Lonchura striata: one gene and its partners. The protein of the gene in region 3 interacts with the protein of the main gene of each other region in a biochemical or structural test. Links are inferred from orthologs where the notes say so. Each region holds a gene or a part of one and is shown on either strand. Other genes may lie near its edges.

Region 1 (9,832 bases), on a different chromosome or scaffold from region 3:
AATCCTTCCCCTGGGAACATAAAGAGGTGAGAAAAAGTGTGTTCTAGAAGGTAGCCTATCACTGCTCTTTACAATCACAAAAAGACTGTCAGCTGTGGCCCTGATTTTTTAATATTTACTAAAGCCTTCTGAGTTTACATTCTTGTAGCAAACTTTCTCACACACTTTCTGTAAATAACGTAATATTTTTGCATTCCTTCATAGAGGCAGAGAAATTTGATAGATTGGTAGCTTGTCCAGTGTTGTTGGAGAAGTGCCATTTTCACCCTCCAATCCACTGTCACCTTTGGAAAACTATAAATGCTGGAGTCAGAAAATAAACTTCCTTTTTTTTACCTTTATAATAGCAGCAGTACGCGTCTTGCTTTCTCGTGGCCTATAGTGACAGACAGCCTTTAGAAATGGGCATCAGCATTGTCCATAGCTGAAATCCCACTGTCCCCAGACAGTTGCCTCACCTCGTTCCCTCTCATCTTTGCGCTCCTGATTACTGTCAGAGTCTGGTTCAGGTTCTGGCACCACCAGTGCTTTTCTTTCAGACAAGAGGTCTCCAAGACCTTGGTCCAGGTCAAAGCGTTTCAGGATGATGCGGATATTTTCATCAAACTGAATGATGGGATAGGCAAGGCAAGGCAAGATAAAGAATGGATGTGAACAAAAGGACTGCAGTGATACAAGGGAGACAAGAAAACTGTATATGAAGTAACAAAAGCTGTTACCAACCTGATTCCAGTACCGGTTTATGATCAGCAGAGAGGCATCGTCGGTGGCCTGCCGACGCTCCAGCTTCTCAATGTGCTCCCGCAGCTCATCTTCGATGGCCTGGCGCTGGTCGAGCATCTCTGCAAGCTTCCGGTTCTTGGTCTGCAGGGTCCGGATGTCCAGCTCCTCCTGGGCACAGGCATATGGCATACAGGCCAGGTCACAGACAGGCTCAACCTGACCCCAGAGACATTTCTGCCTCCAGATGAAAAAAAACCAAAAGGTGGAGAGGGGATATGCAAGAAAGACATACCGTTGAAGAAACACCACCGAGTTTGATGGTCTCCACAGTGGTGCCTGAATCTTCAACCCCTGCCTTCTTCTCTGGAGGTGCAGAAGGGCCAGGCTCTCCTGCTGTCCGTTTATTGCCGATTCCAGACATGGTGGCTGAAGTGTAAAGATTCCCACCTTCTCCAAGTTCTCCCTGAACATTAAAGAGCGCTATTTAAAAAACACCAAATACACATCCATGCGGTCAATTTTATTTGTGGTTTTTAACATGCTGACCCATTATGGTAATAAAATGCCCAAAACAGAGAAGATCACGGAACCAGAAAGATTTTGAAAAATATTTGTTGGAAGAAATGGATTAAATGTGGAAGACTGGTAAGGAGGACTGTAAATCATTCAAGTGACCTTGCAGCTGGGAATAACCCTTGACAAGTCCATGATCCTCAGGCACAGGCTGAGTTTAAGGGTGCCCATATCTCTAATACTGCACCTCCGCCCAGGTGTTGCTTTAGAGATCCCACAAGTAGCAAGGTAATGGAAATAAATCTATTCCGTGTGTTTTAACTGGGAGTTTGTGCCAGCCTGTGCTGACTCACACATTCTGGTCCAACACTAGCAGTAAAAGACACCAGCAGGATCTGCACTGCAAGCAGAAAGTTCATGGGGAAAATATCCACAGCACTGTAACATTAAAATAAAAGCACTGTACCTTATCACCCTCTTTGCAAAAAAATCTTCATCCAGGTTCACTCTCTGCTTTTCTGCATTAACAAAAATGAGTCAGGTTAGACTTGGGAAAAAACTGAGACAGTGTGGATGTGGCACCAGTTCACTGCACAACAACCAAACTGCTCCTATTGAATCTACACACAAAGCCAGTCAAAGCTGAGAGTAGCAACACCCTGGAAATAAATGACCTCTGTACTTAGAGAGCTTACAAAACCTACAGAACTGAAAAGCAACCTGGAGCCAAGGCTTGCAAAGACCCATTCCAAGAGTTTTGCTGTGTACCAGGAGAGATGTGAACATTTTTCAAGAGAACCTACTCCTAAGTCAATCCAGTCTGAAAAGCTCTGGACTACTAGAGAATCACGGAACAGCTGGGATTGCAAGGGAAGACAGGAGGCCACCTGCCCTGTGCCCTGCATGAAGCAGGCTCAGCCAAAGCATGTCCAGTGCAGGGCCTGCTGAGGGTCCTGTCCAGGCAACCTGAGCATCTCCAGCTACAGAAACTCAGCCATGACTCTGGGCAGCCTCTCTAGTGCTTGATCATCCTTAACATTAAAAAAGGCTTTTCTCATGTCTGAACAGTAATTCCTGTAGTTCCCTATAATATTATTGAGCAAAATTACAAGTGTATCCTCAAAAGGTTTACAATACAAATGGAAGTGACTGGAGATGAAACATGGAACCAACCAATCTTCACTAGACATGAGCTGCAGTCTTCTCCCACAGCCACTGGTGCTGTGGCAGCCTCTAGACTGAATGAAACCAGAAGTGAATGAAGTGCAGACTGTACCAGTAAATCCTGACTTGTTCCATTTAAGCCTATAATGGCATTTACAGTCAAACTAGGGGTTATGAACTGAACCTCCCAGTTCCTACCTGCTTTAATTGAGCAGTTCGACTGAAAGCCACAAGGCCATTGTGTTTTGAAGATGAAGATCGTACACTGCTTTGCCAAATCTCAGCAATTCACAAGCATCTCAGCTTGGCAGTGCCCTTCATCATATGCAAAATAGTATAAAAATTATTTCTGAGTTACTGAAACAGCACAGATCCTGTGAGGTATCTTTTAACAGAAACATTAAACTACATCTCAAATTTACAAAGAAAGACAACTGCCACTGAACCATTTTCCTTCTCTTAGCAGCAGCTCTGACTTTAGGTGGAATTCCAAGAGAATTGGAAGGGAACAGCTATCACTAAAAACATCTCATCTGTCCCCTGTCAGTCCAGCAAGCCAGCACTGCTCACTGCCTTTCACACTTTTTGTCCAGGGACAAAATACCCCTTCCACTGCCTCCTGGCATCACCCCTCTCAGCTCCAGCTCCCCTCTCACAACCTCCTCATACACTGTACACAAGACCCCAACCCACTAATTTTTTATGGCCACAGACCCAGTCTTTCACAGAATCATTTAGAATGGGAAAACCTCTGAGACCGAGTACAACCTATGAACCAACACCACCCTGTCAGTCACACCATGGCACTGGGTGCCACATCCAACCAGAGACAGGGAACCCACCAGCTCCCTGGACAAGGCCCTTCCAGTGCCTGACAATCCTTTCTGCTGCTCACACACAGAAGAGGTAAAGAACTCTAATCATGAATGTACATTTCTTTGAATGTCATATTTATTTCCTTCTTGACACAGAACTGCTGATCTGCTCTGCTAACTAACAGAGTAAGTTGTACTCAGTCATTCTGTATTTACTTAAAAAAAACCAGGTGGATTTCTGATTACAAGCCCTATCAATTGAAACTCAAATTACATTTTCTTTTCTTACTTACTATCATTTTACAACTAAATCAAAAACCTTTACTACACCTGCCACCACCTGATGTTCCTGCTACAGTACAGGAACTATACTACAGACACTACACACATATAAACCGGGATTTATGTACAGACACAGAACAACAGAAATAAAAGCACTGGGCAGATTTTAAAACTATTATTTGAGTTTATACTCCCCAGCAGGAACTCCAGTCAAACAATGTTCCATCCACAAGCCTAACAGGATTTTTCCATGGCTTCAGATCAGACTCAGCAGGAATATTTTAAGCATTGGAGGAGAAAGGGGAAAACTTCCAACCCTCTGCTCTGCTTGGCACTAGCATGGCATGGATGGGGTGCTGTGTCCAGGACTGGACTCCTCAGTACAAAGACAAGGAGCTGCTGGAGAGGGTCCAGTGGCAGCCACAAAGATGATGACGCCTCTGGAGCATCTGTCTTATAAAAAGAGATTGTGATATCTGGACCTGGTTAGTCTGGAGAATACTGTGAGGGGATCTCATTAATGCACACAATTATTTCCAAGGTGAGTACTAAGAGGGTGTTTCAGACTCTTCAGTGCTACCCAGCAACAGGATGAGGAGCAGTGGCCATAAACTAAAACCCAAAAAATTCCACATGGGGAAAAACACTGAGGGTGGCAGAGCACTGGAGCAGCTTCCCCAAACATCGAGGACTCTCCCCTTCGGAAACATCCCAAGCCCATGTGGATGTGTTCCTCTGCCACCTGCTCCAGGTGACTCTGCCTTGGCAGGGGGTTGCACAGGGTGATCTCAACCCTGCGATTCTGCGATTCAGCTTCCCCACACACCAGCCGCTCCCAGAGCTCCTCCGCTCTCCCGCATCCCGCGGGGGTCCTGCCCCTGACCCGGCACCTCCCCACAGCGCCAGCCGGACACGCCGCGGGCCCGTCCCTCCCTCCGCGGGTGTGCGCTGCCTGCAGCCCCCAGCGCCCCCTCCGTCCTCCGCACGGCACCTCCCGGCTCTCTGCGGCCCCGGCCGTCCCCACAGAGCCGCCGCGGCCGCCTCGTCGCTGCCGTAACCGCCGCCTCCTCCTCCGCCGCCGCCGCACCCCGTCCCGTCAGCAATGGCCGCCCCCCGCCGCCCCTTCCGGCCGCCATTTCGCCCTCACCCGTCATGGAGGCGCCACTTTGCCCTCGCCCGACATGGCGGGACCGCAGCGGCACCAGACGCCGGCGCCCTCACCCGCACCAAAGATGGCGGCGCGGGCGGAGCCTCCCCCGCCCACACGCGGCCCCGGCGGAGCGGCCGCCTCCCTGCCCGACCCGGGATGGAGCCGTGTCCCGGCCGGACCGGGGGGCAAGGGCGTCACAGATGCTGAATGTGGGCAAAACATCAATGGTCTGTCCTGGCCATGGTGTGGCAGGAGGGCCAGGACAGTGATCGTCCCCCTGCATTCGGCACTGGAGAGGCCACACCCTTGCTCCCTTCCAATAGCGAGAATGTTCTGCTTTCCTCAGTATTGTTTAAAGATTAACTGCGTGAATTATGCAGAGACAGAACAGCAGATGAGGGAAAAAAATACAAGAAAAAATCTGAGTGGTGAGGAGAGAAAGAGAGGGATTCATAATATTTGTATTAATAACTGAGATTCTTTTTTGAAGAAAGTGGGAGAGCCAAGCAATCCAATGCTAGTGCAGAGGAACTGCAGAGAGTCTTCCAGCAATTTGCAATTACTTAGTCTACCAGGAATATGGCAAATACGGTTGCTTTTTCCTGAACCTTGTAGTCTTTCACTTGCCATTACTACAAGGAAGAGTTGAACACTTTACAAAATTACAGTTGGTAAGAAGTGAAGTGACTGAAGCTGGGTGTTTCTTGGAAAGAATGTGCACATGTTCTTAGCATAAGCAGAGGGGAGCCTGGTATGAAGAAAACCACCGGAGACCTGGACATGAACTGAATAAAAAAGTTGTGTAAGAAAGCCTAGAAAAGAGACAATTTGGAGCTTGCAGTGTTGGTATGCTCAGACTGTGGCCACTAAAGGGGACCTGGCTGGACTGAAACTCCTATAACCAAGAAGTGCACAGCCTTGTGACCAGGCTGAGCATCACCCATTACCTGTTCCAAAACCCTATTCCAAATTAAAAAGACCCACAAAACCTCAAACACTGTCTTTCCCTCAAGTTGTAGGAGTAGTAGTAGCCACCAAATTTGCTATGAAAGCCCAACACATGGGTGTGAAATGCATCCTCTTTGGTAAGGTGGGAGGTGGAGACACAGCATTGTGAACTATTCATGTATTACCCAGATGTGTTTGCAAATATACAGGTAAATATGGAGCTTTAGCATACCCAGGACAGTACCTAAAATTATCTTTGATCCAGCAGAACTGTGCTGCTTCCAAGAGGAAAGGCTCTATGGGAGATGGTCTGGGAGCCCTCTCACCTGGAGGGCAGAGGGAAATCCTCTCTTTTGGGAGAAGATTTGTGTGCCTGGAGTCTCCTGAAGAAATAGCAGAGCACAGATTCATCCCAAAGATGGGAACAGAAGAGCTTTGGCCAGTCAACACAGGTGCTGTCAATGGCAGATGAAGAAAGGGATTGCAGGTTGCACACTCAAGGAAAGCACACTTAAAAGCTGAGCTTTGAAGCACAAAAAAAAAAAAAAAAATGGGCTCAAGAACATAAGAAGCAGCCAGTCTAAGATTATAAAGTGGAAAAGTGACATCTACAGGCAACGAGTAACTGGGCAAAGTAAAACAGTACCCAAAACGCTCACAGCAGACTAACTACCCTAGAGGAGATAACTGGATTCCAAATTCAGTGGAGAAAAGCCATGTGCATCAATATTTCTGTGGTAAAGATGTATTTTTGTGTCAGCACACAAATGAGCCTTTTCATTAACTGGGTTGTTAACTGGAGCCATAGCAGTTACTTTGTGATAATGCAGTGCCAGGCACCCAGAAGAGCAGGTATGAAACACAGCCCTCAGTCCTGTGTCAGCTGGCACATCTATTCCGTGCCTTCTAGATCAGATCATAGAGGTGAAGTAAAGGAAGGAAAAGTCAGAGAAAGAAAAAAAAAAAAAATTTAAAATGCGTATTAGTGGAACATACTTCGAAATAAAAGTACCAGACCTGCCATATGTGTGTACAGGTCTTTGACTTCACAGCAAATGTAGCTTTTTTCTTAAAAACAATTACAATAGATAAATAAATAGGATGAAGGGCTTGTACTGAGCTTCCTAACCCCCCTTAATTTCCTCATACACTGGCTACAGGCAGAGTGATTCTATCTTGTCCTGCTATTTTGATCATTGGTGCTTTGAAGCAAAGATAGAAACACCAGTGTCTTAAAAGACATCCCTGTCTTAATGGCTTATTTGTGGAAGAGGCACTTTCATGTTACCAAAGTGTGATAAGCAGCAACAAGATTAATTTTAAAAGCTAAGCTTTGAAGAACAAAGCTTCAGTCCTTGCTCAAAATTTTGTCCTTGAGGATTGTTCTGGTGTCCTCTCCTCTAGACATGACTTTATCCTTACTTCATTGTAAGGTAAGGATAAAACATACCATTGTAGCTAAGGTTGTGCTCTGAAAATAGGATAATTTTTGGTTTTCTTCTCAGGTATTGTGAAGTAGTCTACGTTGTTGCTGTGGGCATGAACTGGAATGAAGGGTGGTGCTGCAGGGTGCTGTGCAAGGTTCACATCAATTAGGGCCAACAGTGGAACTGCATTTGATAAGATCAGGTACTTTACCTAATGATATCCACTCAGTGGATCAGATCACACAGAAACGTATCACTCCACAGCATCCTTGATCCAGCCAACAATTGCTGTTTATGTTATTTGGGATGTCTTTCTCTTGACAGACAAGCTGACTAAAGAAAATGAACACACATAGAGCTGTAGCCAATGCAGTGAGTTCTTGCTTTTCCATTGAAAGAAGTTGCATTACTTTTTTTTTTTTTTTCTGTTATTGTTATTGTTATTGTTATTAGAATTGGATAGTTCTTCTTTCCTAAGTAGCATAATAGGATACTTATGACTCACATCTGGGGAGAGAGACACTGATCCTATTTTGCCCAAGTGTAGTAAAGAAATTCCATTGTCACCTGACCAGAAGGAACTTGAATAGAAATGTTTCAGTTGCTTATATATGCTGCACAAAAATTCTCACTTACTTTTGTTTTGTCATGTTCCTACCCTAGTTGTCTTCCTCTTGTAGTGAAACACTTAATGCTAAATGGAGAATATGTGTATGAATTGAAGAAGCTCTCTCACTCCACTGACACCCAGATCATCCTGGCAGGCAATCTGAAAAAGACAGAATGAAAGATTTCAGTCAGTGAGAAACCCAGGCTGGAAAGTCTCAGCAGGGATTATTAGTGATTGTCTTGCTGCCTCACTGCCCAGCTGCCATAGTGATAAGGAGAAATGAAAAGCCCAGGAAACAGAGCACAGGCTTTACTGTCTCTTTCCCTTTCCCTCAGTCACTCTCTTTTGGTTTTTTTTTGTCCTGGCACCACACCACCTTAATTTGCTGTCTGTGCAGAGGATTCCTTTGAGCAAATAGAAATAGTCCTGAAAATAGTGATATGAAGAGTTTCCTGTAAAGGAGCTTATGACAACTATCCAAACTTATTTAATTGCAGTAGATGCATTTGAATTTTAAAGACAGGCTCTTCAGAATCCTGGTAAGCTTTTTACTGGTGCATTTAGAGACCAGAGAAAGAAAACAAGCTGCATTTGAAGATAATAATTACTCAGCAGTGAAAATTACAGAATTCGCAAAATCAATTCTAGAATCTCTAATCAAACCCTTCAGCCTTATCCTTGCCAATGTAGCTCATGTCATTATAGCAGGTTTTACTTCTAGATCATGGACTAGTCACAGACTTTTATATCTTGCTTAAGTTTAACCTTAAGACTTTCAAACAAAAAAAATTACCAGAATGAATTAAAAATATTAACTAGGAGTGAAATACTTGAGCCTCCATGTTACATCCATTATTAGGTGGAATAACAAAACACCATTCAGCTAAACTGAATCAAAACCTCTTAAATTTCAAATAAGGCTGCCCCTTAGAGATTTGAAGCAGTTTTAAAATAGTTATATTTGACACAATTTTCCTGAGAATCTTTGTGTAGTTAAAACCTTGTACAAATGGTACTCAGACTTTCCTAGACAGGCCACTTCTCTCATGCCAGCATCTGACCTTTAGTTCCAGAAGCACTCTCCTAAAATTTGCAGTTAGCAAAAGCAGAGAAATTGCTAGCACTCTGTGCCTCTGACAGAGTGCAGAGTTTACTAGTGAAAAGTGCCCAGTGACCATACAAAATAACATTACTTCATTTTGCAAGAGAAAGTAAAAGTTTTCCAGCAATCCCTGGGGGATAATTCCTCCTAACTCTCAGTTTAGAAATCTTCTGGTTTGCCTTTTCACCTCATTCTCATTTTTTAGCATCAGCATCTTTTTTTAGCACAAAGTACACTGTTCCAGGCCATTCTTCTATGTTGCAAAACAAAGCAAATAACTGAGAGCCAATGTATTTTAACATTATTTATTATTATTATTATTATCAATGTATTTAACACTGATATTTTAAAGAGCCACTAGACTTTATGTCTAAATTAAAATGTTTGTCCCTTTCTTAGAAATACTCTATGGTCGGCAAGAGTCAGAACATTGGAGCAAGATGGGAAGGAGGTTGGATCACCAAAGCATATGCCGCTAAACTGGCCAAGGTGCATCTAGTTCTCTTGAGTGTCACCAGGCTTGCAGTATTTCTGCAGTTCCATGATAATTTAATACATTTCTGTGTTGGCTCACTCTGGTGTTCTTTTAGCTATGAATAGCCTTTTTTAATGGTTTGATTGAAGAAGCTAAAGAAGCATAGAAAAAGGCTGTGTGTGATGGGGAGGGGTGCCCAGTAGTCTCTAAAGTGAACTGGACTACAGTGAGTATGTTTCTGTCATCTTCAGATGTGTGCAGCTTGGGTAGAAGAGATTACAGAAACAGGATTTAATAATTCATTTGCAAGATCAATTAGCTATTGGTAAGAGCCTGAAAAAGTCTGGCTGTGGTTGTATATCGGAGGTTTTGTAGAGGGAAGACTTGGGAAATATATGAAGGGTGGTTAGTCCTGAAAAGAACCAAAATCAAATGCACAGACCAGGATGAAAATAAGATTAAAATACTTCAGTCTTTTTAGAGAATACTAACGTACCCTAGACAGCCAAGCCAGTAGGAATCCATTCCTGCTGGAGCTGTGTTTCCTCTGACTATTGCTGTCTAAAGTTAAACACAGTGTCTCTGACATATAAGTTCATTATGTCTCCAGTAAATGGCAAAGG
Region 2 (9,832 bases), on a different chromosome or scaffold from region 3:
AGTATAAATCCTATCTCTGGAAGGGCACAGTTCAGGGAGTTAAAACAGAAACTTATTTTATTTGTTTTGTCACATTCATAACAGGAATTGTTGTTTCACATTTTCCAACAAAGCACAACTAATGCTTTAGTAGAGAATCTAAGCTGCAAAAATTACTGTTTAGAACTCAAATGCAAAATATCTGTTTTCTGATCCATCTGTCAGCTCCTTTATATAACATGGCTAAAAAAACCAAACCATACTACCAAACTTTAGTATCCAGTCAGCTCTAGATATCAGTGATTACACTAAAAGAAGGAAGTTAAGTTTCAGAAGTTTTTTTCCCTTGGCACAACATGGATAACGTTCAAGACTGTCTAACATTGTCCTAACAAAATATCAACTTTGACCTGAAGACATAAAATAACTTTTTGATCTCTTTAGTCATTTAACTTTGGCCCCTGAGCCAAAGCAGGGTGCCAATTCATGTCAAAAGCTGCTTTAATGATGCAGGTGTTTGCCCACTTGGAATGAGACTCAAAACCAGCACAGACTACTGAAGTTGTCTAGAGTACAACATGCCTTGATTCCAGCAGTCACCAATGCCTACCACCTGAGCTGACCCAGAGCAAATTGGTGACCACCAGAGAAAGATAAATAACCACCAGCACCACCTGTTACTGTTTCAGTTGCTGGACAGCTAAAACTACTGTCTTCTTCAGGATAAGCAACGCACCAACCCAAGCTGCTCAACCTTTTGGAAACCGCAGGTGACTTTTAAACCACAGGCACCTCCAAAACTACAAGAGCCCAGCTGCAGCTCATGGGAGTAGGCACCTGAAAGCAATCTGCAGCCCAAGGGACAACTGGAGTCAAACATGGCCTGTGGCTCTCTCCACCATGCAGGAGGTACCTCTATTGTACCTCCCTACCAAGTGGACACTCCAGCCTAAATATGCTGCAAAATTAGCAGGATACTACTACTAAGTAGGTTCAACAGGCAAAATGGTCAGGAATTCTGCAACTAATTTTCAAGTCTTTGAGGCATGCAATCTAATCACCTTTTCATGTTCCAAATTTTTTGGTGAAACCTGCATTTGGTAGATAACAACACACCATTTCTTGGACACTGACACAAGTGTACAGTAAATACTGTTCTACCAATATGCTGCACTGTTCTAAATACAGCAATTTGACCATCTGCATTTCAGGGAACAGTTACAATAAAGGATATGATGACTTACCTAAATTGAAAGTTTAAACAGATTTAGCTTAACAAAGTAAAATTATATGAACATGTCATCTGGTCTAAGCAGGTCAATTCAGTTTAGAAGACACTGCAATTCCAAATAAGAGACCTGACTCAGATTTCACTAATTTCAAGAAATAACCTGCATATGAATATGAATATCCCCTCCAGTAGCAGGTCTCCTCATATACATTTTCTCAACTATGTTACAGCACTGAATGACACAAAAGATCTGAAATATCCTAAAATGCACAAGTGCCTGCATCCTACTTCACATTATGAAACTGAAATTTGGAAATTTCCTATCTTAAAAGGTAATATCCTAATAATACAAGCTTTTCTCTTCCTGCACACCACTTATATCTCAAATTTTGTTAGGTTCTGACTAATGGTAAAAGAACGAACCTTTAAAAAAATCCCTTTTCTTCACAAATATTACAGAGAAGGTACATATATGTGACAATTTGAAGATTCAGTGTAAATTTTAAATCCTTGCAACAGCTTAATATCAAAGCCCTGCTCCAGGTAGCAGATGCAAAAGCAGGCAGGCGTCAAACCGGAATTTGTTTAGAATACAAATGGACAGCCAACCAAGGGCTGGATCCAGCCTGCAAAGCTGGTTTTTGTCAGGCCACCAGTAATGCCTGCTAGCCAACTACTGGACAAGCCAAGTCCAGCCCATCAGCCAGCCAAGTAAACTGTGGATGCTGTTAGGAAAGGAAAGAAAGTAAACTCGAGTTTAGTAGACAAGGTTTGCTACTTAATCAGCATTAAATTCAACCCACTCTCTTCCAGGGCAGCTCAGGAAGCAATACAGCCACTATGAAGAAGCAGAAGAACAGACAGGACCTGACTTCCAACTAATGCAGCGAAACATCAAGTTAAGTACTTTCAACCACAGTCATCCAACCTGAAGCGCTGCAGATAAATGCAGGGAAGACACCACTGACTTGGGCTGGGCGCAGAAGAGTTTATTACCTGAGTCACCACCATCCACTCCAGAATCAGGCTGGCTCCTGCAGAATCATTCAGGTGACCTGCACCATGAACCCAGCACTCTGGGAAGGTTTGCAGCAGATGTGGTGCTGCACTGCAGCCAATGGCACCCAAAGCCAGAGACCAACAGAGGAGCAAGAGTCTGTCTGACTGCTCAGACACTGAGACAGCTTTGACGAGTTCAGTGAGGCCAAAGCTCACCCTATTTAACCAGTTCTTTCCACTCCACACAACTCCAATTTTAGCACCACAGTAACTTTCAGAATAGCTCTGCACAGTGAAAGCACAAGTCAGGCAAGATATATTAGTTCATATATTAGTTCTACCTACTTAGTACCATCTTCAAGACAGCAATAAATTGGGTGTACTGCTTCCAGATTACAACTGTCTCTACCATCACTATAGCCAGGTTTGCTGTCTAACATCACAAATGCTGTCAGACACAACCTAAGTACGTATCCCAAGCTCTGCTTCTCCCTTTTTATATCACATCCTCAGCCACTACTCGCTGTCAAAATCCCTGCATTTTGCTTGGATGTATGGCAAGCAACATGGTCTGGATGGCCAACTACCTTCCTCGGAATAATGATAATTCTGGTCCAGACACTTTCAACTGTCTGAAATCACACAAAAATTAAGACAACTTAGTGGACCAGCATCACCTTTGAGCAGCTGAGGATCCCTTCAGCAATTCTTAGTTTCATGGATTGCTTGGGCTAACTCAGCCTCTGAAGTCCCCAGTTAATGAAAGGCTGATCGCATTGCTTTGCTGCTGATTGCCACTATTACCCTCAGCACCACTGGCTTTATGCACAGCTCACAAGCTTAAGAAATCGCCTGTCTTGGGACGCAATTTTTGACACTATGCAATCAAGTCACATTTTTCCTATTGTAAAATCAGGCTGTTCCTGATTAAAAAAAATTCCACGCATAGGCCTGTTTCAGTTACAGAAATATACAGCACTTAAGAATAAAGTCCATGACTAAAGGGCCATTGCTAATGATTTGCAATTCTGAGAAGGGTACAAGGAATAATCTTTGTTGGCTTACTGCTGCCACATGCAAGACAAGCTCCATGAGTAAACATCTTTCTATTTTTATTAGTGGTGTGCAGCATCATGTAAACAGCAGCTATTCTACAGGCTTGCCAGCACCCAACTTTTAAACACAGGCAGTCAACAGTATCAAAACTATACTATGTGTGCAGACTGTTACAGGAAATAGAACATAAAATGTAAAGTGCCTCATACACATCCATCTGCCTTCCTTTCTTAACTTGTCAGCTTTTGGGTTTTAAGCTGCTCTAGATAAAGTGTTTCAAACATAGTAATGCACTATACAAGTTTGTGAAGGAAACCACAGAAGGCACTTACGTGCTACCACTAGATAGGGTCAACAACAAATTGTGTTCAATAACAAAATATTAAGTCCATAGACAATTATTTTGCAGAACGAAAAAAGAAACAATACTCCTGTTCAACAAACAACTGTTTCCCTCTAAATTATACTATGTTCTTTCTAAATGCTACTATTTGCTGCTCCACACACTATATAGAACAGTAATTTGTTACTCTGCCTTTTCTGTTCCACAGTAGAGTCACCTTTAATTAAGAAAGGTAAAGGACTATGGTTAAAATGCACATTTACAGTACAACGTTTAAAGGACGGCTCTGAAGCTTTCCAAAGTTTGATCTCAATCAATTCCGTCATTAGGTGCCAACAGAAGATCCAGGACAGGGGCTGAGAGATGCTGCGGGGAACCGAGCCAAACCGCTCCCCCGCGGGCCCGTGACAGCGGCTGGCCGGGCCCGGGTCACGGGCCCGGGGCAGGGCTGGCTCTCCGCTCCCGGGGCACGGCTGGCTCTCCGCTCCCGGGGCACGGCTGGCTCTCCGCTCCCGGGGCACGGCTGGCTCTCCGCTCCCGGGGCACGGCTGGCTCTCCGCTCCCGGGGCAGGGCTGGCTCTCCGCTCCCGGGGCAGGGCTGGCTCTCCGCTCCCGGGGCACGGCTGGCTCTCCGCTCCCGGGGCACAGGCGGGAGCCCGGAGCCGCAGCCAGCGCAGCCGCCGGGAGCGGTGCGCAGCCGCGCCCGCCGCCGTGCGGGGGCACCGGGCCGCCCGCTCCGGCCCCGGCGCCCAGGCCGCGCCCCGGGTGGTGCCGCAGCCTCCCGCCGGCTACGGCAGGTGCAGAGCGGCGCGTCCCGGCCCTCCACGGCGCCGCTCGGCAGCCGCGGAGAGCCTGCCCTGCTCGGCCGAGCGGCAGCGCGGGCAGGGCACGGGCTGCCCCCGAGGGCGGGCAGAGGGAAGCGCGGCGCGGCGCCGGTCCGCAGCCTCACCATAGTTCGCTCCGGGGCCTGCGCGGGGGCCCGGCCGCCCGCCGCGGGACCTCTGTCGGCTCCGTCCGCCATTTTGAGAGCGAGGGACGCGGCCGGCGGCGCCGTGACGGCCGGAAGGGGCCGCCGCCGTCACCGGGCGCCGCGCCCGCGGCCCAGGGCCCGCCCCGCGCGCAGCCGCCCCGCGCGGGGCCCCGGCAGCGCCCCCTGCGGGAGGCCGCGCGAAGCCCGGCGCGGGCCGGGCCGGCGCGCGGAGCTCCTGCTGGCCGGGTCCCCGCAGGCACTTAAACCGTGCCCGCTTCGCGCCCTGCATCGCCGAGCCACGGAATCCATTAGGCTGGAAAAGACCTGAAATCATCGACTCCAAGCTACCACGGAACACCACCTTATCATCCAGCCCGTGGCACTGGGTGTCATGTCCTGTCTTTCCTTATACCATCTCCAGGGTCGCTGCCTCCACCTCCTTCGGCAGCCCATTCCAATGTTTAATCACCCTTTCGGTGAAGAAATTCCTCCTAATATCTAACCTAAACCTCCAGTGGTGCAGGGGACTATGTCCCCTCATTGCTAGCAAGATAATAGCGCAAGTAATTTCATCTACACGGTGCAAAGTCACTTCCATGTGGTTCCCACATGGGCTAAGCAAAGGGAAAATTTTATTAACTTGGTGTAGGAAGCAACAGTAGCTTTAGGCAAATGCCTAAAGACCAAAGGATCTCCAAGATCAAAATTTTTCCTCCACACCTCCTTCCAACAGCGTATCAAAACTGTTCTGGGTGCTTAGCAGATTTGGCAGATTAGGGCATTTAGGATCTTGATTGAAGTGTGACAAACATGGCCTATGCATTGCTGGAAGTTTTCCAGATTGTTGCAGTCCAGTTGTACAATTCCGTGTGTTTCCACCTTCGTAAGGCTGAGGAAATAGGCAAATAGCCATAGCATTGGATCTTGGGGTCCATTTTGAATGCCTGATATCTTGGATATTGGGAAGACTGCCTTCTTCCACTGTAGTCTTCCTGTTTCAAGCCTCCAAACAGCTTTTTCACTTTCTTCAGTTATCAGTATGTGTGGGTCTCAGATTCAGTTAAAGAAAGAAACTGAGAGTTTCTAGCCAGGCAAAAAGCCTGGGAAAGAGCTGGAAAAGAATGTAAATAATTATTTATCTCTCTTGTTTTTCACATTGTTTATAGTTAAGTTCTATCACTGTGCGTCAAGCACTTTGCACCAATGGTGGTGGGTTGTTTTCATTTCAGAACCAATGGATTTGGTCCTCATGAAGCTTTGTATAAAAGAGCAGTGTATTTTGAATAAAGGGGAGTCTTACTTTCACAGCCTTCTGAGTCAAGTCTATTCATTCCCATCCTGCCTCGACAGTGACAAGTATGGATGGGATAAAGCTTACAGGTGATCTTTTCAGGTATATCCAATGATTTTTTTGTGCTGTACCCAGCCACAAGTACTCTCAAAGTTCTTCTCTTATATCTTCAGAAATCTGAATGTAGTTCCTCTGCCACAGCTACCAGTCATCTTCATATTAAGAAGTCCTGCAGACTTCTTTAATTACTGAAATCTGTCAGTTAAAATCACCATCACTGAGACAGGTTTAGGTATGAGGTGTAAAAAATAAAAATTGAATTTTGCCATGAGACAACAATCTCATCTCGTTCTGTCTGTCCATATTGCTAATTGGTGCCCAATCCTTTCCAATAGCACAGCTGCCCGCTAACCAGAAGTGTTGTTTGCACAACAACTAAGTTTGGACTGTGATTACTGGAGTCCTTCACCTGTTTTGGCATCAACACTAGCAATTATATAATCCAGCTTCCAATGTAGTCGAGCAAGAGAAGCAAGGCAGAATTCCAGCAACAAACCCAGTCAAGCAGCAGGAGGGCTGCCTGCAGCCCCCTGTGCTGCAAGGCAAGCAGTTTGCCTGGCTATCTCTTTTAGCTGTCAGTGGGGGTTTGCTTTCCTGTGTGACTTCAAAAGGTATGCTAATGTAAATCACTGTTTTAATTGAACAGGATTTACTGTTAGACTTACTTTAAAAAATTATTATTAAAAAAATGGAACCCACATGCACTAAAAGACAGCAAATAAAGTGTCAGTAAACCTCTTAAAAAAACAAGTTGGCACCATTGCCCAGGCAGAAATGGCACCAAACAAGATCTCCATGGATACTACAGTAATAGAGGAAAGAAGAAGAACAAAACAGGAATTCAGATCAATTTTAATACAGACAAAATAATTGACAGCCTTGCTAGAGCTAAAATAAAATGGTAGAGCTTCAGGAAGAAAGTGAGAAAGCCCTAGTTCTCCAGATTACTTCTGAAGATTGACAGGATTGCTGATTGATGTTTATTTAGAAACATTTCTTCAGGGTGTTTTGTTGGGGGGAAAGAGTAGACAAACAAGATGAAAGGCAGCTGAAAAAAAAACAAAGCAAACATACATGAAGTCCTGCAAAAGAGTAACTAAATTATGAAGAACATCTAAAAAGACGTGTCATATTAATGCAGTCTAACTGAGCTGAAAAATGTTTTTTTCCCGATCAATCAATGCTATTTATTATCAATGCTAAAATTTAAATCTTTGTCCTATGAGAAATTACATGAGAAAATATAATTACAATTAAATAATACTGAATTAGAAACTTCTAATACCTGAAGTTGTTTGAGAATATTATGATAAATAACAAAGAGTGATGTGAAGTGACAGGAGCTTTTTCACCTGAACTCATACTTAAGATGGGAAGAAAAAAATCTCAACAGTAAATGGGCAGCAGTTAGTAAACTGAGTTGATAGCAAAGAATAACTTAGCAATTATGAAACTGTTCGGTTACTATATCAAGGTTTTAAATGGTGTGTGTACATATATATATATTAAAATGTTCAAAATACCATAAAAATACTTCTGTCAGGATCAAAATAGGTCAACTGCCTAGATTTCCGAGCAGGTAGAATTATAATACCGTAACGAGAAAAAGCCAAAGTTCACATGCTGTATTTGTAGGGAAGCAGGCTGAGATACGGATCTCTTCGTACGCCTGGGTTTCCTTCTGCTTTAACCCAGGCATTTCCAGGCAGCCCTGCGGCTGGAGGGGAAAGCAGGAACGCTCAGGGCACAGGGAGCGGGGGCAGAGCCGGGATCCCCCAGCCTCGCCGGATAGAAGCTCCAGCACAAGGGGAGCGGCGGCATCGCTCCCCCGAGCCAAGCGCGGCCGGGCGCGGGGCGGCGCGGCAGCGGAGGAGGTGGACGCGGAAGTGCCGGGTTCGGCGGCGCAGGGCTCGCCCGGGGCGGGCGCGGTGGCGGCGCGGCGCAGGATGCTGGGGCTGGCGGCGGGGCTGCTGGCGGCGGCCGCCGTGGCGCTGCTGCTGGACTGGTACGGGCCGCCGGCGGCGCCGCCGGCCCCGGGGCCGCGCCGCCGCTGGGCCCCGCAGCCCGCGCCCGGGGCGGCCGCCGCCAGCCTGCTCTGGGTCGTGCAGGTGAGCGGGGCCGGGCGGGCGAGGGGCGGCCGAGCGGCGGGCACGGCGGCGGCGCGCGGTCAAGCCCAGTTACAGGTGTTCGGCCAGGCTGCCCGAAAGGTCGCGTTGAGGAGTATGTTGAGTGCCGGCAGCTCGGTGTGCAGCTGCAGCCTGAGCTCTGGGGGCGAAAGGCCGGGACCTGCGAAATCCTTTGCACAGCGAAGAGCACGGGGCACGGGACCTGTGTCCCGGCCTGGGGACCGGGCACTCAGAGACGGCAGGAGCCCATCACCCCCAGACTTGCTTGCTCTCAGACTCTGAGGGTATAAAAGCCCGGGGATTCCTTTCTTTGGGGCACCTCCTCAGAGGTACCCAAGTCGAACTGTTATTTTGATAATTACTGCACCAAGATTAAATTATTTTAATGATCTCGAAGTCTGAGCTATGGGAAACCTGGAGCTGAGCTGGTAAGGAAACCTGGCCTGACTGTGAGTGTGGGGATGTAGCTGTGAAGGGGCCTCGGTCCCAGGTGGTGTGAGTGTGACTGCCATTATGGCTCCTGGATGGTTGCACAGAGAAGTTTCCTTATCAGACAAGATATGTGTAGTGGAAGCGGGTAATTAAAAATCACCTAATTATTACGCTATCCTGTATATTGCATCAGTACCTGGTGCGATATTATCTAATATCCTGGGGAGAAATGCAGGCTCTGCCTGTCCCTTTCCCCATTCAAAACCTCAGAAAGTTGTGTGGCTGAGAAAATAGCTTTACTGATTTATAGCAGTAGAAGGTACTATGCCAGTATTCAGAAGCTTTGTTTCCAGGTTAAACATAAAAATCCAAGTTGACTGGCATAGTCCTGGAAGGAAATTGTCACATCTTAGGGCTTCTGTGGCCTCTTCTGTGACTCTTCTCCCCAGAGCATTCCCAAAGTACTTAGTGTAGAACTAGCCACAAAAATATGTAAACAAAAATATGTTTACATATTTGTAGTTACTCTATGGCTGAGATGTCACAGGGATTGCTGTGCATTTCCTTCTAACAAATAACTTTTACTGTTTTGTTTTCATTCTAAATCTCAAGAACACTTTGCCTGACTTTATTAGCTGCAGGCAGTGCTCTTAGTGGATGAGCTGGCATATATAAGTCCTTAGGTTCTCTCTAATTGGTGGTGTGATTTTTTTTTCATTAATTTTTCCTTAAGTGACTTAAGGCTTATTTTTACTGCAGAGTACAATTATCAAGAGATATGCTTGAAATAATGTAAGGAAAGCCCCTATCCTGCACTGCTGTCCTGTGAAGAGTCAGATACAGCAGCATATAGCTGCTGCAGAGCTATACTGACAGGCAGTGCACAGGCCCGTGTTTCTCTTACTGTGTTCTCTCTGGTTATGTCAATTCAAGTAGAGCTCTCCCAAGGATAGGTCATAGCACAGCTAATTTGAAACTTGGCTTTGCTTTCAAGTGGTTATGTTCTCTTTCAGACGTGCCCTTTAACAGCTCCTTTATCATTGACCAAACTTGGAAACTAATAAAGCACCAAATCCAGCCTTGTGCCTGATAATGTTATGGGAAACAGGCTTCAGGCTCCCTGGTGATTCCATAGGTCTAGCCTAGGTCACTGAATAGAGCTCAAGATGGTCAGTTCTGCCTCTAGCAGTTCCTGCCTTGTTTTTCTTTCCATACACAGGACTATCTCTTCTTAAACTGAACTAAATCACAGTCTTTCTACTTTGATCTTCTATTAATGGCTCATCCATTTTTTGTAGCAGAATTTCTCTTACTAACTGACAGACACTCTAGTTCAGTATTTGAC
Region 3 (9,832 bases):
AGACTTACTGCTCAAACTTCTACACCCTTGTCTTCCAGCTTGTTCCTAACAAATTACAGACCTTGGGGCAGAGACAAACTGGCCTGCACAGTATGTGAGGCATAATTTCTACAGAGGAGCAGCAGGCAGGCTTTTTCTGCACTCAGTAAAACCTATCAGTGCTGGGGGAGGCAGCACAGTGCACTTTCATCGCTGCTTTCATCTATGAGATGGGGTCAGACACCTCCTCTACAACTGAGCATCCTCATTTTCTTCCCTGTGCTAGTCCTGGTAGGCACAGAGCACCAGATGAAAGCAGGGACTTGGGTGAAACCTCACCTGGCAGGGAATAATTAACACTTGGCCCCAGCAGCTCCCTGCAGCTCATGCTGTGGCTGCACAGACACGGCTGCTGTTAAATGGAAAGGGGCAGGAATCTGCAGCCAGAACTGCCTCTTTGAACCAACCTAAGTGCAGCTGCTGCTGAAAATACTCACAGGCTTTGCTACTGAGGCTACATATTGATTACTAAGAGGCAGATAGCTGCTTCTTAATAGCATCATAACTCTCAATTTTTCATCAAGCAGTTGCTGTCCTAGATATATACTTAGGAGATGGCAGTGAAGAGAGATTAAGCATTCTGGAGCTTCAGAGAATGCATGACCACACTGTAATATTTATTGAGTATTACAGCTAAATAAAGATGGTTTACTCACCATTTGGATGGAACATTTTTGATAAAAACCTAACAGTTGGAGGCTTATTTGGATATTCTTCGGAAAATTCTATTACTAGTTTAAAAGTACCTGTCCAAACAAAGATAAATACAATCAGATAACTAACAACAAAAGACTATATCCAGGAACAGAGACAAGAAATTAATTTATGTGCTCCATGACCAGCATTTCTCCTCACCATTATATAAAAAAGCAACAGTGAATCTGATTGCTTTTCATATATTTCAAGGGATAATGCAACTATGGAACTACTGGTTATAGTAATAAACCCTGCAGTAGTGGTTGGGTAGGAGCTTGGAGACTCACTGCATACATGGCAAAGGCAGCCTTATCCAACATTATCCCACTTTTCCACGACCCAGGTATGCTGGGTCCATGGACTTGGGTGACTTTAAGGCGTTTCATTAAGAAGGCATTGTGGTGCCATCAAAGAAACACTGGAATTTCATAATCAGCAATCTCAGTCTTTGGAGCTCAAAACTTATTCACTGAAAACCTTTGTTATGGATCAGTGAATAATTTACTGTAATTCCTCCAACCCAACACAGAGAAAAACCCATCTGCTGCCAATTACTGTAATAATACTATAATTATTAAACTCATTATTCCTCATATGCCTAAGGGAGGGTCATTACACACTAGCTTTCATGTTTATGTACAAATTTGGGATTCCCTCAACCTCACTGAGTTCTATATTGAGAACACCTAAAGGTTTCTCACCTGTTCTTCATTAGGAGAACAGTGATGAATCAAATATGCCACAGATGAAATGAGAAAAGCTCTTGTTGAGCTCAGCTAAAGAGATGTGCAAACACACCTGGCAGTGTAAGTCCAATAAACCCTGCTAAAAGCTCTTGTGGGCATGAATGAAAAAGCCTTGATAGAAGCATTGCTTCGTAGCTTTCTAACCAACCATGAGCCAGTGTAATGAGACACTGCTTAGCTCAAGACACATTTTTATAGCCAACAAGCCTCATGGGTTCACTTACTTGGTTTGTTTCAAATTATACACAGATAACATCTATTATTTTTCAAAAGCAGAACGATGTTCATACCGGCAACATTTATTAGAATGACAAAGGATACAAAAGTTAGCAACTTACCATCTTCAAAAGGTGTCCCTTCTGGCCTGAAAGGTTTTAAAAAGAAACTCTAGTTAAAAGTGATCATTACCTACTTCCACACAGGCACAATAGATGTGTATCTTCTTTCTCATCCTCTCCAAGATACAGGCAGAAGCAATAATTTAAATTATTAGAGAAGCATCCATAGGTAACCTCTGAGAGCTTTGCTGTATCTAGACACCTGCTATTTGGGATATCTACTTTATCATCATCCCAAACAATATACATGCCTTTAGGTGACTAGATTGGAACAAATGAGCAGATTATTAGCAAGCATACTTCAGTTTTAGGAAAGGATACTGTCACTTCTTCTTGCACAGGATACATAATGTAACTTCCCAGACAGATCCTGCACCTTGTCCTACTAGGATTCATTTCAATCACTAATACATCTGGATTTAATGGCTGAGAACATGTGGCACTTATGTACTTTAAAGAGGAATTCTGCTTTTTCATAACACAGTATAACTTACTTATTAAGCCACATGCAAGCTTTATTCAACAACAAAGCTAAACAAATTAAAAATTTAGGTTTTTTTTCCTTCCTAACCATTCCCCGTTTTGGACATTTTTAAGTTTACTGACTTTACACACATGAAACAAGAGAATAACTAAAAACAAATATCAGGTTATCATATTTAGCCCTCTAATACCGAATTTCATAATGATAAAAACTTACCCAAATATAACTGCATTCCATTGCATTATGTTATTCTCAGATGGTGCACCACTGACACCCACAGGAGGGTCTTCTTGCAATCTAAGAATTACATAGAATCACAAGTCATATATATGAAATACTTCCACCTGCAGATATAATTTACCAGTAATATCCACATTTTATACATATTTTCTCATTCTAGATTAGAATATACACAAAGCATTACATGCAGATTATCAACACTCTGAAAGACAGATCTACAAGGCAACACACATCAAGATTTTCTCGTGTTTTACATGGAGACACAAGGGCACAAGAGGTCTGATTAGGTGTTCAGGGAGCAAAGGATTAGCTGTAAGAATAACTTATAGCACCCGGACAGCTGGGATTTATGGTGCTACACTGTGAACTATGAGAGAGCAACTGCTGCTGGCTGCCACAGTGAATTGGAGAACAAGCTGCAGCCACAACCAGGAGCTGAAATCCAGGCAGTGACACACACACACAGAGCACTCTTGCTGGGACTCAAGGCAAAGGACCGTCAGCGGAGCTTTTCCTGCATACCCAGACCCATGCATGACAAGTGGCTAAATTTGGTATAAGCCTATTTCAACTGACAAGCTGATTGCTTCAAAAGGGAGCAAAGGGGAAACCTGTGTGCTGCTACCCCCTCTTACCAGTCCCACAAACGTGTTTATCTCTAAAGCAATTACGGGAACATGTGAAATTATTTTTAGTTCCTTAATCCTCGGACTAGGGAAAAGCATGTTACCTACTGAAAGCTTCACTAACAGAAATATGTACTGCAGCCAGAGGGCAGGATCCAAATGCCCCCCCTGCCCATCACTGCTCCATATTAAGGATCACAAGACCCTGATGAATGTACACCAGCAGGCCCCAATCAATCCACCTGCTCAAACCCCCTCAGTGACAGCTCCTACTCCCCTCACCTGTTTTGCCTCCGGAGTTATCCAATAAGGAAAATGCAGTGACTGCCCTTGTGTCACAAACAACTCTTGAGTGTTACCATGTGGCTCGATAATATCACAGCACACTTATAAACAAGTCACTACAAAAAGCTCTGCAGACCAAGGGACAAATTCTCACTAAATGCCATATGCAGATTTATTGAGAGCTGTCAGCAGCACAGCCAGGCAACCCTCCCTGCACTTGCCCTGCCTCAGCCTGGGGTAACACCGTGTGTTGTCCAAAGATGCTGAGGGCCCTGAAGCTGCTCAGAGCCCCTTTAAACTCTGTGTTTACATCTCTGCTCTTTGAGCACACACAGTCCAGACCGCTGAATATCAGCAGCATAAACCACCTACTATTTTGGTCAGGGAAAGCAGGAACAGGACTTCTTCCTACGTGACAGCCAGGCTGCAGGCCAGCAGCAATGCCTGAGTGTTAGCCTGCCAAGTGCATCTGGGAGATGACTTTGGTTTTTAGATCAACTTCAAAGCATGTGTGCACCCTACTTGTCACAGGGTCTAACTACAGAACGGATCTGGCAAGGACTGCAAATAGGACTAATCCTGAAAGTCCTAAACAGTAGGGAAAATGTGGTTTTAGTACGCCCTTTTTATCAGCAAAGTAAATAAATAACCTTTTATTTCTTTTGGTTTATTCAAACAAATTAGAGGAGGTAAGAAATCTGCTGAACTCTTCTCTCTTGACTGCTCCTGACAATCACAGTATGCAAAAGCAGTTTGTATTTATTGAAGTGAATCAGAGTTCACAGCACACCGTCTGTTCTTTCAGTATGAAGTATAATAACATAAACAAATACACAACTTGCAGCACAGAAGAGCAGAGTAAAACAAAAACTAATATGAAAAAGTTACATAAGTTTTGGAATATAAAAGCCGCTAAATATATGACTGATGGATTTGATTTACATTGTCTACTTGGTTATATTTTTCCACAGCTTTAGAGTCTTCTCTCGAGCCTTAATTCCAAAATTATTAAACCAGTCCCTGTAGGAATACAAAAGCATAAAACCCACATCTGATTGCAATCTTGAAAAATTGAGGTAGTCAGCCTGAAAAAAAAAATCACTGATTCATCTGTGTAACCAAATACAATAAAAAGTCTGAATATCCTGTTTTGATTTGAACAGGAATCAAGCAACACCCACTTAACAAACACCAACACTCGCACAAACAGCAGGGGAGGGCTCCACTTCCCAAAAACCTCCTACTGCTTCTGGATTCACGAATCAGATTTTTGTCGCTGTTGCTGTTGTGCAGCCACGTAAAGCAACTACAATACACGTCAAGTGTTAACTGATGTGTCCGCAGGGCCTGGTATAACATAGCCATGCTAAAAAAAGAGACACTATCAAAGCTGACTCACCTCCAACTACTGCTGAGTGACCCAGCCTGGAGAACTCTTACTGTACATCTTACAAGGAAACCTCCCACCCCTTTCCACACTCTAAGTATGTTTACGTGTCAGACTGGAAATAATGTATTCCAGAGTCAGTGGTTCAGTCATTAACATTTAAAAGAGTGCAACTAATAAGCGCTCCTTTAGCAGTTCGCATATATTACACAAGACTCCTCATGATTGCAAACTTTAAACACAGTATCACATGATTGTGCATAAAAACACAAAAGGTCATTTTGGCTCTTACTACATACAAACGAAGCGTTCGCCAATTCTCTGCGCTTCGTTTCCAGGTGCCTATCGCTACGAACTTCTTTCCAGAGAGACCCTGCGACCCAGCAAGCCTGGAACGCTTCTGAATTCCGGCCGAGCCATTCCACAGCCGGAGCCCGCGGGTGGCGGGCCGGGCGGACGGGCACGGCCGTGCCAGCCGAGCCGGGCCGAGCCGGGCCGAGCCGGGCCGAGCCCGCGTCCCCCCGCCAGCCCGGCGCCCCCGGCCCCGCGGGCGCTGCCGGCCCGCCCCGCTCGCAGCTCCAACTTCTATCCTCAGACGCCCCCAGCCGTCGGCGCCGGCCGAGCCGGCTCGAACAAAGCCGGCGCTGCCCCCGCTCCCCCCGGCACTCCGCTCCCCTGCCCGGGCGGCTCGGGGCCAGCCCCGGGCCCGGCAGGAAGGCGCGGGCAGCGGCGTGTGCGGGCCCCGCTCACCTCTTGAAGTCGCGCATGAGGCGGCGGCGCGCCGGGGTGGACATGGCGGAGCCGCGGCGCCGCCTCCCGCCCGCGCCCGCTGCGCCCGCACAAACAACCCGCAATGGCGGCGGCGCGCGCGGGGCGGGGCCGCGCCGGCCGCACCACTGCGGCACCGGGGGGGGCGGGACCGCACCATCGCGCCGCGCGGGGGGTGCGCGGGGAGGCGGGTGCGCGCGGCTCCGCGCTCGGCGGAGTTTGGGGAGAGGCAGCGGGAAAAGGGACTGGGAAAGGGACCGGGAGAGAGCCGGGAAAGGGTCCGGGAGAGAGCCGGGAAAGGGTCCGGGAGAGAGCCGGGAAAGGGACCGGGAGAGAGCCGGGAAAGGGACCGGGAGAGAGCCGGGAAAGGGTCCGGGAGAGAGCCGGGACTGGACCGGGAAAGGGTCCGGGAGAGAGCCGGGAAAGGGTCCGGGAGAGAGCCGGGAAAGGGTCCGGGACAGAGCCGGGAAAGGGTCCGGGAGAGAGCCGGGACTGGGACCGGGAGAGAGCCGGGACTGGACCGGGAAAGGGTCCGGGAGAGAGCCGGGAAAGGGACCGGGAGGGAGCCGGGAAAGGGTCTGGGAGAGAGCCGGGAAAGGGTCTGGGAGAGAGCCGGGAAAGGGTCCGGGAGAGAGCCGGGACTGGACCGGGAAAGGGTCCGGGAGGGAGCCGGGAAAGGGTCTGGGAGAGAGCCGGGAAAGGGACCGGGCGAGAGCTGGGAAAGGGTCCGGGAGAGAGCCGGGACTGGACCGGGAAAGGGCCCGGGAGGGAGCCGGGAAAGGGTCTGGGAGAGAGCCGGGAAAGGGACCGGGCGAGAGCTGGGAAAGGGACCGGGAGAGAGCCGGGACTGCTGGGACAGGGACCGGGACAGGGTTCGGGAGCGAGCCGGGACTGGGACCGGGAAAGGGTCCGGGAGGGAGCCGGGAAAGGGTCTGGGAGAGAGCCGGGACTGGGACCGGGAAAGGGACCGGGAGAGAGCCAGGAAAGGGTCCGGGAGAGAGCCGGGACTGGGACCGGGAAAGAGTCCGGGAGAGAGCCGGGACTGCCGGGATAAGGGCTGGGACAGGGCTCGGGAGAGAGCCGGGACTGCGGCACCCCAGGAGTGCCGGGACAGGGTCCGGGAGGAGCCGGGAGTGCCCAGCCCGGCGCTGCCCGGGCGTTTCAGCCCACGCGTGGGGCCGGTGGGGTTTTCTCCTTGCCAGACACACCAGCTCACTGTGATCAGCTGAACGTCTGCAAAGTACAGAAACTATTAGTCGTGGTCAGATTGCAAGGTTGTACATTTCGAGTCTTGCTTCTATGCTGTGTATTCAGCCCACTCCCACTATTTGCAGTAACTGGAGGTTTTAAAAATTTAGTTCTTATCAAATTTTAATTAGGGATAATGGTCCATTTTGCCATATGGGCCTCTCAGCATCTCTCGAAGTTCCCTCTAAATACAGGCTGATGTCCTGGCTCTCAGCCCTTTTTAAAAATCCCATTACTCCAACAGACAGAGCAGGTCTCTTTGAAGTCGTGACCCAGTTCTTACAAGCAGTCTTGGAAGTTATCCCTGAACTTGGATTTGTGTGGTTACATGTGCCTCCCTGCTTTTTTTTTTTCCAGATGATTTTAAGGAGGTCAAACCATCATGGGACGTATAATGAAATGACAGAAATAAACACTGCCTGTCCATTCCCTTTGCCTGCAGCCATCCAGGTGGTGGAACAGCATCAGCCCAGGGTTTAACAGCACAAAGCTCAGTACTGCCTTTTCACCAAGTTAATGCCAGCCCTGCTGCAGCAGCACCACTGACTGGGTTATTTATAAGTTGAATTCACATTTCACATGGGGTGGGATTTAACTCTGCAAAGATTTATTCAGACCACTTTAATCCAATGTCCCACCTTAGTGAAAACAGTCAGATGGCAAAAGTGAGGAATTCACACAAAGCCTGGTACTGCAGGGGAGCAAGCTTTTCCAAAAGATTTGGTAATAAGAAACTATAATACCCCAGCCACTAAAACATTATTCCCCACACTAGTGAGGAATGGTTCCTGGCAAGCAATCCCCTCCTCTGGACTCTCCTCCTCCTCCTCATCCTCCCACCACACACGTTCCAGTTTTCATTCCACTGCTGCTCCTTTACCTTTATCCAGCTTTTATTTCACTCCTGTTAACTTGGGAGGGAGAAAGCAATCTGTGACAACCAATGCAAGCTTGGACCTGTACACAAAATGAAGGTCACAACAACATTGATTAATTCAGTATTAGCAGGCACTGCTTCAAAGCCCAGACAGGGCATCCCCTGTGCCCAGGGCAGCTCTTTGCCTTTGAAGCCCAAGTCACACTCAGCCTGTGCAGGGAAATAAACAAAAAACTGAACAGCAGCACCAAGCTGGATTGAATCTGAAATCCCTTGTTGTTTCCACATGGCTTGGGAACTTTTTCAGCAATGTCTCATCAGGGACAATATTTATTCTCCTCTGACACCACTGAGGAACAGTGTATTGATGTTATCTAATAGAATATTTTAATCCTACCTGGCAGTAACATGTGTAGCAATCAGTCCCAACTAACCATAAAATATAGGTTCTGGCCTTGCAAAGGTGGTTTAATATGTCTCAAAATGAAATCTGCACTAAATATCCACTTTAGATTTGTATCTGGTGATAATTATTTCTAGTACTTCCTTGCCTAATGAACTTAAATGCATCACTGCCATTATAATGTCACTATGGGCATTTTAGTTCGAATGTTTTCAATTTATCATGTACTTGTAACACACTGACTTCCATTGATGAGTGGAAAGAACAATTGCAATACTAACTTTGTCATTTGGTTCCTGGAGAGGTTTTTTTTTCCTGTGCAACCATTAAAGTTATCCACTGTAACAGTGCTTCAAACACTTGGAAAAAATCCTTTCACAATCTGTGGTCTAGAACAGAAAGTAATGTGTTCATTCCTAAATAATACTGGGATGGCTATAACAACTTCCTGATCAGAAAGCTGTTTCAAGTTCAATTTTTATTTCTATTTTTTTTAATGCCATTTGATAGGGCATTTTTATAATTTTAAAAATATTAATATTTTAATACATTTTGGTTTATAGTTTTATGATTTTAAATATCAACATAATTTTAATAATTTAATTTTTTACAGCACAATTTATATTAATCTTGAGTAAGTACTAGATCCTTGTGCAGCATTTCACAAACCAAAACAATTTCTAAGGTAACTTTGACCCATCATGAGAGGATGTGTGTGAGCTGGGTGAGTTCCTGGTGTCCTGCCTGGGAGCTGCTGGAGCTGCTTCCATCCCGGAGCTCTTGCGTGTCCTCAGCCCCACCCAGCCATGGGAGAGGGACAGCAGAGCTGGCTGAGAGGCTTCTCCCATGTGAAAAGCGCCAATCGCTTGTTTAAAAGTTTTAAAAGTTTAATGGTAATAAAATAGTTATAAAAAAACATTAATAAAAATTAGGGCAATAAGAATTTCGACAATCAGAGCTAGGACAATAAAGGACAATAAAAAGCAAAGAATTACGGACGTCTGGATGCTTTCCTCAAGAAAACATGGCTCGCTAACAAAGGATTAACTCTTAAAAGCAATAGCCTGTTGCATATTTATATATCTCATACATGATGCAAATATTCCTTTCAAACTAGGAATTTTTTCTGTCAGCTCCTCCCCTCATCTTATAGATGAATCCTTTTGGCTCTGGGGTGTCTGGAAGAAGGCTGTATAGTCCGATCAAGAGGCAATAAATCTTGTCTTAGGATTTTTTTTTTTTTTTTGTCTTGTTGCTGTTATCTCTATGTGAAGAGTTTCTTGGGTTATCTTATCCATTCCTTATGCTGGTCACAAAAATATGAACAGCACATAGCTTCTATTTTAATTTTCTTCATTAAGAAGATTTACAATAATGAAGAATATTTACATCATATAGCTTCTATTTTAACATTATGCTATAATCTAAAACTATATTTAGCACACTACATAAAAAGGATGAATACAGTACTACAAAATAACTTTCCAACATAACACATATAGTATTCCATTTAATATTTGTGAAGAGCCAGCCATTTAGTCTGCATTTTTCACAGGCCATCCTTGGAGCTCCTTTTGTCTCTGAGTGCCTGGAAGAAGGCTGTATGGTCTGATAAAGAGGCAATAAATCTTGTTTTAGGATTTTTTTTTTTTTGTCTTGTTGCTGTTATCTCTATGCAAAGAGTTTCTTGGTTAT

What was found.
Region 1: the proteins of UBE2B (region 3) and RNF20 form a complex in vitro, tested with the Homo sapiens proteins (4 studies listed by BioGRID, with this or other methods). The link is inferred for Lonchura striata from reciprocal best matches to the Homo sapiens genes UBE2B and RNF20.
Region 2: the proteins of UBE2B (region 3) and UBR1 form a complex in vitro, tested with the Homo sapiens proteins (2 studies listed by BioGRID and IntAct, with this or other methods). The link is inferred for Lonchura striata from reciprocal best matches to the Homo sapiens genes UBE2B and UBR1.

Annotation. Positions count from the first base shown.
Region 1 is NC_134642.1:59,174,771-59,184,602, forward strand, and holds the start of RNF20 (E3 ubiquitin-protein ligase BRE1A), read right to left. Parts: upstream 4,750-9,832; 5' UTR 4,645-4,749; intron 4,616-4,644; exon of another isoform or gene 4,489-4,615; intron 1,755-4,488; 5' UTR 1,703-1,754; intron 1,187-1,702; 5' UTR 1,145-1,186; coding exon 1,016-1,144; intron 892-1,015; coding exon 724-891; intron 607-723; coding exon 459-606; intron 11-458; coding exon 1-10. UniProt on the Homo sapiens protein: Component of the RNF20/40 E3 ubiquitin-protein ligase complex that mediates monoubiquitination of 'Lys-120' of histone H2B (H2BK120ub1).
Region 2 is NC_134608.1:35,937,540-35,947,371, reverse strand, and holds the start of UBR1 (E3 ubiquitin-protein ligase UBR1), read right to left. Parts: upstream 4,694-9,832; 5' UTR 4,630-4,693; coding exon 4,558-4,629; intron 1-4,557. UniProt on the Homo sapiens protein: E3 ubiquitin-protein ligase which is a component of the N-end rule pathway. Recognizes and binds proteins bearing specific N-terminal residues that are destabilizing according to the N-end rule, leading to their ubiquitination and subsequent degradation.
Region 3 is NC_134617.1:9,520,374-9,530,205, forward strand, and holds the start of UBE2B (ubiquitin-conjugating enzyme E2 B), read right to left. Parts: upstream 5,703-9,832; 5' UTR 5,636-5,702; coding exon 5,592-5,635; intron 2,601-5,591; coding exon 2,520-2,600; intron 1,846-2,519; coding exon 1,820-1,845; intron 786-1,819; coding exon 696-785; intron 1-695. UniProt on the Homo sapiens protein: E2 ubiquitin-conjugating enzyme that accepts ubiquitin from the ubiquitin-activating enzyme E1 and transfers it to a E3 ubiquitin-protein ligase. In vitro catalyzes 'Lys-11'-, as well as 'Lys-48'- and 'Lys-63'-linked polyubiquitination.